Linked DNA regions of Oryza sativa Japonica Group. Each later gene encodes a partner of the first gene's protein in a complex. Links are inferred from orthologs where the notes say so. Each region holds a gene or a part of one and is shown in the gene's direction. Other genes may lie near its edges. The genes, in order: carbon catabolite repressor protein 4 homolog 6, probable CCR4-associated factor 1 homolog 11 and carbon catabolite repressor protein 4 homolog 4.

Evidence for each region.
Region 2: carbon catabolite repressor protein 4 homolog 6 (region 1) and probable CCR4-associated factor 1 homolog 11 share a complex: the UniProt entries of both Arabidopsis thaliana proteins name them as parts of the CCR4-NOT complex. The link is inferred for Oryza sativa Japonica Group from reciprocal best matches to the Arabidopsis thaliana genes AT5G11350 and CAF1b.
Region 3: carbon catabolite repressor protein 4 homolog 6 (region 1) and carbon catabolite repressor protein 4 homolog 4 share a complex: the UniProt entries of both Arabidopsis thaliana proteins name them as parts of the CCR4-NOT complex. The link is inferred for Oryza sativa Japonica Group from reciprocal best matches to the Arabidopsis thaliana genes AT5G11350 and AT1G31500.

Annotation. Positions count from the first base shown.
Region 1 is NC_089035.1:24,732,549-24,734,941, reverse strand, and holds part of carbon catabolite repressor protein 4 homolog 6, read left to right. Parts: intron 1-69; coding exon 70-104; intron 105-311; coding exon 312-402; intron 403-832; coding exon 833-925; intron 926-1,052; coding exon 1,053-1,085; intron 1,086-1,162; coding exon 1,163-1,251; intron 1,252-1,350; coding exon 1,351-2,393. UniProt on the Arabidopsis thaliana protein: Acts as a catalytic component of the CCR4-NOT core complex, which in the nucleus seems to be a general transcription factor, and in the cytoplasm the major mRNA deadenylase involved in mRNA turnover.
Region 2 is NC_089038.1:35,499,239-35,502,556, forward strand, and holds probable CCR4-associated factor 1 homolog 11, read left to right. Parts: upstream 1-1,455; 5' UTR 1,456-1,566; coding exon 1,567-2,556; 3' UTR 2,557-2,677; downstream 2,678-3,318. UniProt on the Arabidopsis thaliana protein: Ubiquitous transcription factor required for a diverse set of processes. It is a component of the CCR4 complex involved in the control of gene expression.
Region 3 is NC_089039.1:18,948,500-18,952,802, reverse strand, and holds the start of carbon catabolite repressor protein 4 homolog 4, read left to right. Parts: upstream 1-1,408; 5' UTR 1,409-1,560; coding exon 1,561-1,652; intron 1,653-1,733; coding exon 1,734-1,813; intron 1,814-1,952; coding exon 1,953-2,002; intron 2,003-2,137; coding exon 2,138-2,187; intron 2,188-2,679; coding exon 2,680-2,749; intron 2,750-3,322; coding exon 3,323-3,444; intron 3,445-3,581; coding exon 3,582-3,691; intron 3,692-4,068; coding exon 4,069-4,219; intron 4,220-4,303. UniProt on the Arabidopsis thaliana protein: Acts as a catalytic component of the CCR4-NOT core complex, which in the nucleus seems to be a general transcription factor, and in the cytoplasm the major mRNA deadenylase involved in mRNA turnover.

The DNA of each region.
Region 1 (2,393 bases):
AAGCTTTCTTTATGCTGCCAATCTTGCATGGCCTATATCTGCTAATCGTTTCCTCATTATATTTTTCAGTCGGTGATTCCAGGAAATGTGCAAACTGAGTCTAGGTAATTGAAACTTCAAGATTTCTAAACTATGCATCACAGTTGTGAGTTGTGACAATGGTGTTATGCTGTCTCCTTTTTATTAGTTGTTTCTGGCTTGTGTAGTTCCTATTCCACGTTCCTTTATTATTGAAGAGAAAATTTCATAACCCACATGTCCACATTGGTATTATCTATCCATGTTTTTATAACCATTCTTTCGTTTCACAGCCCTAACCATCCTCAACAAGCTAAGCAAATTATTGTATGCAATACTCATGTTCTTTACAATCCAAAGAGAGGGGACATCAAACTTGGTCAGGTATTATGTTGTGGTCACTCGTGAGTCTTAATTTCCTACATTAGTTCAGACTTTTATAGTATGATTTTTTTTTCACCAGAATTAGCCTCTTGGCCTAAGCACTTTTGTTTTTAGTATAACATGGTAAAGAAATAACACCTTGTTAGACCTTAAGTACTGAGCAACAATGTACACCTTATCTTCCATCGTGTTGCTTTCTGATGCTTTCATGGCATCATTTGAGATCGTGCATTGTTTTCCACCCTCTCGTTGTAGATGACTAGGTGGGTTGTGGTCTTTTGCTATTATCTTGTTTTATACTTTCATCACTGAAACAAAGTATAGCTGCATTACCTAGTATTTCTATCATCTTTCTTGACCATCAATAGTCAGTACATTATGCACCTTCATACGTATTATTTGAATACTAATTTTCTTGTCATACTTACAGGTAAGGACGCTTCTTGATCGAGTGTATGCTCTATCAAAGACATGGAATGATGCTCCAGTAATAATTTGTGGAGATTTCAACTCTACACCCAAGGCAATATTCAGTACCTTACCATTTTATATTAAAGATTCATATCTGGTTCACTGTATTTCTTGGACATTTTATTACATGCTTACATGTAACAAGGTCAAAATGTCTGACCCATTTCTTCCTCATTCAGAGCCCTCTGTACAATTTTATGCTGGAGCAAAAGGTAAAGAGTGTTCTGTATTAACTTGAAAATGGCTGTTTTTGAGAAACTGAAACTCACACAACATAATAATCATGCAGTTGAATCTGTCCGGTCTTGTGAAGAGTAATATATCAGGGCAGCAAACTAGTACTGCACAGGGACTATATACTGGTCCTAACACAGCTCGGTGAACCTTCTGCTTTATCAGAGACACCCTCTTTTGACAATTTTTTCTGCATATTTTAACCTAACTGACCTTTGTTTGATGCTTTTTGGTATTTAACAGATTCTATCCGCCTTTTCACACGACGAATAGTAAGGAGGGTAGCATAAGTTACCCAAATGATCATAAGCCTCAACCTGAAGCAAGAAATGTAACGGAAAATTCTCGTCTTTCTGGCAGAGAACCAACTTTGACTGATACTGCTTCAGACTCTTTCTTAAACCCAGAGAGCTCTACAAATCCTCACGAGCAAGAATTAATGGGCTGTGTGAAAGGTCCTACAAAGGAAGCCTATACATCTGATGCTGAAGCACATACCAACACCACTAATGGTGAAGAAACTTCAGTGGTTAACAACTCCAGTGAAGGATATGGAGTAATAAAAAAGAGCTCTGTAGAAGAAACTAACGTTACAAACTTTTCGTCTGCTTCAACGACAGTAAATGATGAGACCCTTCAGTCAGATTCGAGTGAAATAGTTGATAGAAGTCAGCTTCTTCCATCTTATGAATCATCTGAATCTAAAGATTCTTGGGAAGAATTAGCTGGTGGTAGCAATAACAGTTCAAATACCCTGGCAAACTTTCCTGGTCATGTGATTTCTGGAAAAGCTACTTGTGATTTTGAGCGAAACAATGTCCAGTCAGATACACTGTTTGATATATCAAAGGTCAGACCCGATGAAAAGGAACAAGACAGTGAACCTTTGTCTACTCAAAATAATTGCATGCGTAGTGAATCAAAATCAAATTGTTTCAGTGATCCCCTGAAGTTTGCTGATACACTTCATCAAATGAGTAATCTGAGGCTAGAAGAAGAAAACAATACTGAGCCAACTCAGTTAACATCACCACTAGAGCCTTTGCAACACACAGATTGTGCCTTTTCTGACACTTGTGATGTTCAATGTACACCTGAAGTGATAAACAGGCTTTCAAAATCGCATTCATGTTCAAATGAGCTTGGAAATTGTTCTTGTGCTTTTGAGGATGATGGGGCATCCAATGAAGTTTTGTGCTCAGATGTGAATGCAGATCCTTCCATCTTTAAAGAGTTTTCTGGTGTTAATGAATTTTTACTTGAAGATGAAGACCAGCTGCAAACAA
Region 2 (3,318 bases), on another chromosome or scaffold:
CGCGGATGCATAAGTGGGAGTAGTGTAGAAGGACCGGCCAGGAGGAAGAAGACTCACCAAACGCGAACGCCGACGACCGGCTGGCTATTTCGTTGAACACTAGCACACGCAAGGAACGGAATATACTCCTCCAAGTGTTTCGCATGGACGGTCAAGTCAATTCCGGAGGCCTGCAGCGGCATCTGCCCCCCCCCCCCCCCCCCCCCCCAATCCCATTCGATTCTCTTCAGCCGCCGCCGCACCGCAGCTCGCCCCGCGCCGCTGGCTAGGAAAAAACAAAAAAACGAGTCGGCTCACCTCACACGCACGGCGCACGGGCCGGGCAGCGTGTGGCCCGCGACGACCGCGACCGCGAAAGCAGCAACCTGCGGATGGAGCAGCGGCTAGCGCTTGGCGTGAGACAGCGGCGAGGTTCCCTTCCCTCCCTCGTCCCAGTTGCGGTTTTGGTTTTCCAGCAAAGCACAGCACAGCTGCACGTACAGGTACAGGGATGGGGGAAGAAAAACGTGTACTAGATGGCCACCGCCAAAGTGAGAGCGACGGTGCGGTGCCTGCACACTAGTGTACGGCCTACCGGACTACCGGTGGACTACCGAACGCACGCATACGGGAGGGAGGAGTCGGGGACCGGGTCGTTGCTGCTCCTCGGTCGGTCAGCCTCAGCCTCATGAGTGATGATGACTAGTCTACTGGAGTAGTACTAGTGGCCTCGCCAAGCTCCATTGGTTTTGTTTTGCAACTTCACCACGTCGGCAATTACCGCAACAAGCCGACCTAACGGAGGGGGTGGGAACATGTATGCACCGAACCTGGTGCATGTCCACGTTCAGCGTACTACCTCTCAACTTGGAGCATCTCTGCTTATTAGTGCTCTGTTTTGGCCGGGGTGCACTGCACCCAAATACCAACTAGCACCACCAGAAATGTGTCCTCCCTATACTTTATACTCTACCAGCCGACTAGAGTATACTAGCACTACTCCTACTTTATCCGTTTCACAATATAGACAATGCTAGAAAGTCTTACATTATAAAACATAGGGATTATATAATTATAAATGAAAAAAATTACTAATAAAATATTAGTACAGAATTCCGAATGCGTACGTACGGTATCGCACATCCGCTGCAGCAGCTGCGGAATTAAACAAACCGGGAATGCGTCCACCTCCCTTGAACTCAATCCAAATAAATAATAATAAAAAAGAAACCCACAATTCCGGGCAGATGCCTCTGTGTCTGCAACACGGTCAATCCACGCGCGCCCCTAACCCCAATCATTAACCCCGTATGTTAACGCACGCCATAAACGCAGACGCACGGCCACCGTCCGTTCCTCTATGCGCACAAATCTCAAAGCTCCCCACGCCGCTTTCCCCTCACGCTCCTGCCGCCTTCCGCGAATGGATGCGCCGGTGGACTCCTATAAAACGCAAGCTCTCACTCGCCGCAGTCCAAACAGGCAAACGCACTCGCATCTCCAATTCGGTCCGAATTTTTCCAAATTCCAATTGCTCATCGCGCTTCGAATTCGTTGCCGAGATCCATCCAATCTTTGAGTTAAGACATGCCGTCAGAGTTCGTCGCCGCCAGGAAGAAGCCGCCGCCGGAGTTGTTGTTCGCCGCCGGTCGGAAGAAGCAGCAGCCGCCGCCGCCTGGCATGGCGTTCGTGCCGTCGGAGTTCGCCGCCGCCGGCGTTGGCAGGAAGAGGCAGCCTGCGCCGCCGGTGGAGATACGCCGGGTGTGGGCGCACAACGTGGAGGAGGAATTCCGGATCATCCGCAACGCGATCGATCACTTCCCGTACGTGTCCATGGACACGGAGTTTCCCGGCGTGATCCACCGCCCGACCAAGCACCCCGCCCTGCTCACCGCCGGCGACCGGTACGACCTCCTCCGCCGCAACGTGGACGCGCTCCACCTCATCCAGGTGGGCATCACCCTCGCCGCGTCCCCCACCGCGGCGCCCGCGCTCGCCTTCGAGATCAACCTCTCCGACTTCGACCAGCGCGTCCACCGCCACGCCGCCGAGTCCGTCCAGCTGCTGGCGGAGCACGGCGTGGACCTCGCCGCGCACCGCAGGCACGGCGTCAGGGCGAGCGCGCTGGCGCCGCTGCTCATGTCGTCGGGCCTCGTCTGCTCCCACGGCGCCGTCAAGTGGGTCACCTTCCACTCCGCCTACGACTTCGCCTACCTGGTCAAGCTCCTCATGGGGCGGAAGCTGCCGAGGTCCATGGCCGAGTTCCTGAACCTGGTGCGCGTCTTCTTCGGCGACGAGGTGTACGACGTGAAGCACATGATGCGGCACTGCGGCGGCGAGCTGTACGGCGGGCTGGAGCGCGTGGCGGCGGCGCTGCAGGTGAAGCGCGCGGCGGGGCGGTGCCACCAGGCCGCCTCCGACAGCTTGCTCACCTGGGACGTCTTCCGGCGGATGCGGGAGCTCTACTTCCTCAAGCATGGCGTCGAGGCCTACCAAGGCGTGCTCTTCGGCCTGGAGCTCGACATGGACATGCCCAGCAACAAAACACCCTCGCTGCCGCTGGTGGCAGCGAGATGATACGATCTCCTCTCCTCCGCTGTAAAATTTGTTGATTCGTCGTCTGCAAGAAAGGATTTCTTTCGGCAGATGTACAGTAATAATAAGAGGGAAAAAAAGATGGTTTAATTGATTGGTTAAATTCGGTTGATTTTCTCGTGTGGTGGTTTAAACTTTCACCGTTAAAAAATTGGGCGGCTTCCCCTGTTGTTTGTCATGATGAAACGGCTATAGAGAAAAACGCGTCGTATGAACAAAAAGGCAAAAAAGGCCATGCGCACCGTGTGCAGCGCAGCGAATCGCGTCGCATGTTGGGAGTCAAACGAGCAGCGCGTGTCATTCGGTCAAAGTGCATACTAGTGTACTATGGTCGGCCGGGTTTAGTTCCAAATTTTTCAACAAGTTTTTAACTTTTTCATCGTATCAAAATTTTCCTATATAAAATTTTTTAATTTTTTCATCACATCGTTTCAATTTCAATTAAATTTTTAATTTTAGCGTGAACTAAACACACCTATGCATGAAGAAGGAAAAAAAAAAGGCTACAGTAGTCCTGAACTTATGATGAATGAAACGGTGAGATTGACTCGTTTTAAGGTCAGACGATGAGTGTGAGTTCAGGGTGCTAGTTCATGCGTGGCATGCTAGTTTCGTTCAGTTAGCCGACCGGTCAATGAGAGAAACAGTCAAACAAATCTGCATTATACTACTAGTTTTCTAGTCCATTTTGTTTCGTCGATTACACCGTGGCTACTAGTTTATTCAGGACAGGTGCTTGACAGT
Region 3 (4,303 bases), on another chromosome or scaffold:
GGGAACGTGCTAATGGAAAACAGGAAAGTCGAAATTTAGAGGAGTTTAGAACGGGTCTTACTGCAAGTTTTATAGTAAGAGTAGTTGTCACATCTAATTTTATCCCTATAAGATAGGAGGTGATATAAACAACACACCACATCTACACTACCTCCAGCATACTAACCCAAATAATTTTATTTTATTTGTTTGTCTAATCCCCTCTTTCTTTCATCTCCTTGGGGTTTGTGTCATTGTGGGGAGGTTGCCCCTTGCATGAGGGGTGACTCACCTTCTCTTTCTTCACTTATTTTTTCCACCTCATATCTAATCATATATAGTATTTTTAGGGGCAACATATTAAGCATTAGAGTACTTGCTCTTAGGCTGTGTTCGGGAGGTGAGGTTAAGAACAAAGCGGCACATTTTCTTATGATTAATTAAGTAATTACTTTTTTTAAAAAAATGGATTAATATTATTTTTTAAAACAAGAAACTTTTTGTAAAAAAAAATTATTTAGCAATTTAAAAAATATGTTTGTGGAATACGAGAGAGATGAGTTGGAAACCCAAACGGTCGAACACAGCCAGTGGAACTGGTTATCCATTATTAAGGTTTCTCGAGTTTAAGAAAAAGAACATTAGGATCCACCATTGCCCATGTCAAAATCCAAAACAAAAAGTGATACCCTTTGACATAACAAAGTTATGTGTTTGTCTGGATATACTTATACTGTAAATTAAACTTTCGGCTCAAAATCTCATACGTTGTATACTACAAAACAAAATCATTGACAAAGCTTAATGTAAATCGAAACAATCGTGTCCTAAATTACTAACATCACAGTTTAACTGAGTGATAAATAGATAATAGTCAAAGGGAAAAGGGAAATTATTTGTATGGATGAGTTAAATACTACTCCCTCCATTTCTAAATATTTGACACAGTTAAATTTTAAGCACATGTTTGACTATTCGTCTTATTAAAAACTTCTGTAAAATATGTAAAACAATATGTCTACATATAAGTATATTTAACAATGAATTAGATAATAGAAAAAGAATTAATAATTACTTAAATTTTTTAATAAGACAAACGGTCAACATATTTGAAAAAGTCAACGATGTCAAATATTTAGTAACGGAGGGAATATTACTTATGTATAAAAAGTTTTTTAAAAATCACCCTTTTGAAAACGCAGCATGAATAATTCATTACCTGTTTATAATGTGTCCTGACTGACTCGATAACTTATGGTGGTAGCAAGCACATTCCAATCCGACTAGAGTTAAAAGTGCCGACGAAAACATAATTTGGCTGAAATCCCTTTTCTTATCCCATCCGTGGCCATCTCTGAAAAGGAAAAGGAAAAAAAAAGAAAAGAAAAGGGTATTACTTCAAATATACTGTACACCGGCGCTTCTCACCGACAGATCGGGCCCAGTTATCAGGTTTGAATCAAAACGCTTGAGCGGTGGAGCCACAGCCGTACAGCCGTCGGCGGCGGCGGCGGCGGCGCGACCATCTCCTCGCGGCCAGATGCGCGTGTTCCGGCGCCGGAGAGCCCAACGAATCCGCCGATGCTAAAGCTCCAAGCTTCCCTCCCTCTCTTCCGCCTCCGTCCCCGCCCCAGCTCCCCTCCTCCCTGCGGCCCCCGTCTCCCCTTCGTCCCGTAAGCACACGCTGATCCCCGATTCCAAACCCCTTCCCCCCCTTTCTACTGTTCTAATGGATCGTGACACCGACGAGTCAGAATTTGCAAGCGGCGGATGAGCACCCAGGCGCAGCCCAGTTTCGCCCCTCTCCCCACGGCGCAATCCGAATCCGATGCAGGTTGTGTTTTTTCTTTTCTTGGTCAATCTTAAGAAGCGAGTAATACGATTTTGATTGGTGGTTGATTGCTAGTATTACTTGCAAATCGCGCAGGCCCAGGGTAATTTGTATTAAAACTGTTTTAGTGTTTGGGTTACAGGGGCAGCTGGGTACCAGTTCCGGCTGGTTTCCTACAACATCTTGGCCCAGGTAGGCTGGCAATATGCTGTTTTGTTCTGTTGAGCTGCTTATGGTTCGGTATTTTCTTTGGTGACGATGAGTGGATTACAGTATTCACAGAGGAAAGAAAACTAGCTGCATCTAACTATTTGATCTGTGTTGCAGGTTTATGTGAAGAGTGCGTTTTTCCCGCATTCTCCATCTGCCTGTCTCAAGTAAGCTCTTGACTGACAAGCTTCTTCCTAGAATTCTTTTGGGTTTCAATATTTTCTTGCGACCACTTTAGTGATTCTACTAAGCATTAGAGCAGTGGCAACACACTGCGGTGAATGCCAAATAATTTACTATGAAAGAAAGACATTACATAAATACTATGTTTTGTGTGCATTGCACATTGGTTCCCAACTAGCAGCAATGAGCGCAGCCTTAGTAGCATTCAGGTTGTACGAATAGATTTATTTGTCAACAGTAAGCTTTACGATATGATGTTTGTACATTTATATTTTCGGACAAACTTGAGTTCCATTCTCAGTTCTCACCATGAGTAGACCCAGCCCAAGAACAAAGTATAAAACTATCAAAGGATTGGTGCATCAGTGTGCTAGTTTCGTTTTGTGACTGTAAACAATTTTCCATTTCTGTTCTAGTCCCTGCTCTTCAATCATTCATTTGTGGACTGTATGCTTCCCCTCATGTTTGAGAAACAGGTGGAAAACTCGGTCTAAAGCTGTTCTATCAGAACTCAAGAGCTTCGAAGCTGACCTCATGTGCATACAGGTTGGACAGACTTATGACTTTTTAAGCAACTCATTTTTTTCATGTGGTCATGTACTTGTCATTGATAAATATAGAATGTGAACGTTTTTAAATCATATTATATCCTTATTTGGTTCTATATATGGTTTATGTAACATTCCCCAAGTTTGTATTTAGTGGATTGAAAAATACCCTCCAAGAAAAAACTGCAACATTGATTGGATCCTAGGATAAAGGGAGCATTAATCCCAAGTTCTCAACGTGACAGATTGGAACCTGATACACAAGGTTCCTAGTGCCAAAACACAACACAATGGTGGATAGTAGAAAGTTTTGGCTATTACTGTTTCTCAAAAAAATTATGTAGTCTTCCTCCATTATGCCCAACACAAATTAATTAGTGTTCTACTCATTCAGAAATAAATATTGGGAGGGTTACATATTACATATGATTGTATTGTTTCAATATTTAGTCATGACCTATATTAATGTGTACTTTTGACCCTTTTTTTTCTTCTTTGGAATATTTTTGTCTGCTTTTTTCGTTCTTTGGAACATTTTTGTCTGCTTATTTTTAATATGTGGTTTGCTCAGGAGTTGGATGAGTATGATACCTTCTACAAGAAAAACATGGAGAATTCTGGATATTCAAGTATTTACATTCAACGATCTGGGGACAAACGGGATGGATGTGGCATATTCTATAAACCAAAAAGGTATCCATATTGTTTCAAATAAGTGATGATTAACAATGAGAAGACAAGAATGGAAATTATAGTATGCATGAATGTTTCGATTGACTTGCAAATTAACTTCTCAATATCCCCCTTTTGGGCTATTCTTACTTTTACAGCATGGAACTGGTCCAGAAGGAAGTACTACATTACAATGATTTAGTGGAAAAATATGTTCATACTGATCATGTAAATAGTGATACATCAAATAATTCTTCACCAACAGAAGGTAATGGATCAGCTGCTCAACTTGATATTATCCTGTGAATCATAATGACTTCTTTCATTGGAGGCGACAAAAGGTAAAGTAGTGAGCCAGGCTAAACAAACTACTTACAAGTTACAACATACAAACTATTCTGTCATATCTTGAAAACAAAGAAAGTAGACAAATATTCAAACTCCACATCCAAACTCATGAAGTACAAATTCTTTGGGCCTCCACTATTATGATTCTACCTTTGGACCTTTATCATTAATCATATTCTAGCTAGGACATAGATTTGTCCAATTGCATTCCGTACTTATTTTATGTCTGCTGTATCTGTGGCTAGTATGATGCTCTACCTAAGTTAATTGGGTTAATTCAGTATTATGCTCTTTCAGAAGCAAGCAAGAAGGTGGATAATAACAAGCATGGAGATCCAAATGATCCACGTTTCAGATTGAAACGTGACTGTGTTGGTTTACTTGCCGCTTTCAAGCTTAATGATCCTTGTGATCATATTTTAATTATGGCGAACACACATATTTATTGGCAAGTAAAATGGCCAGAGTTCTCTATTATTCTCGTTTTGAAGATGTTTTTTAAGCCATCTGTCTGTTTTATTTTGTATATCTG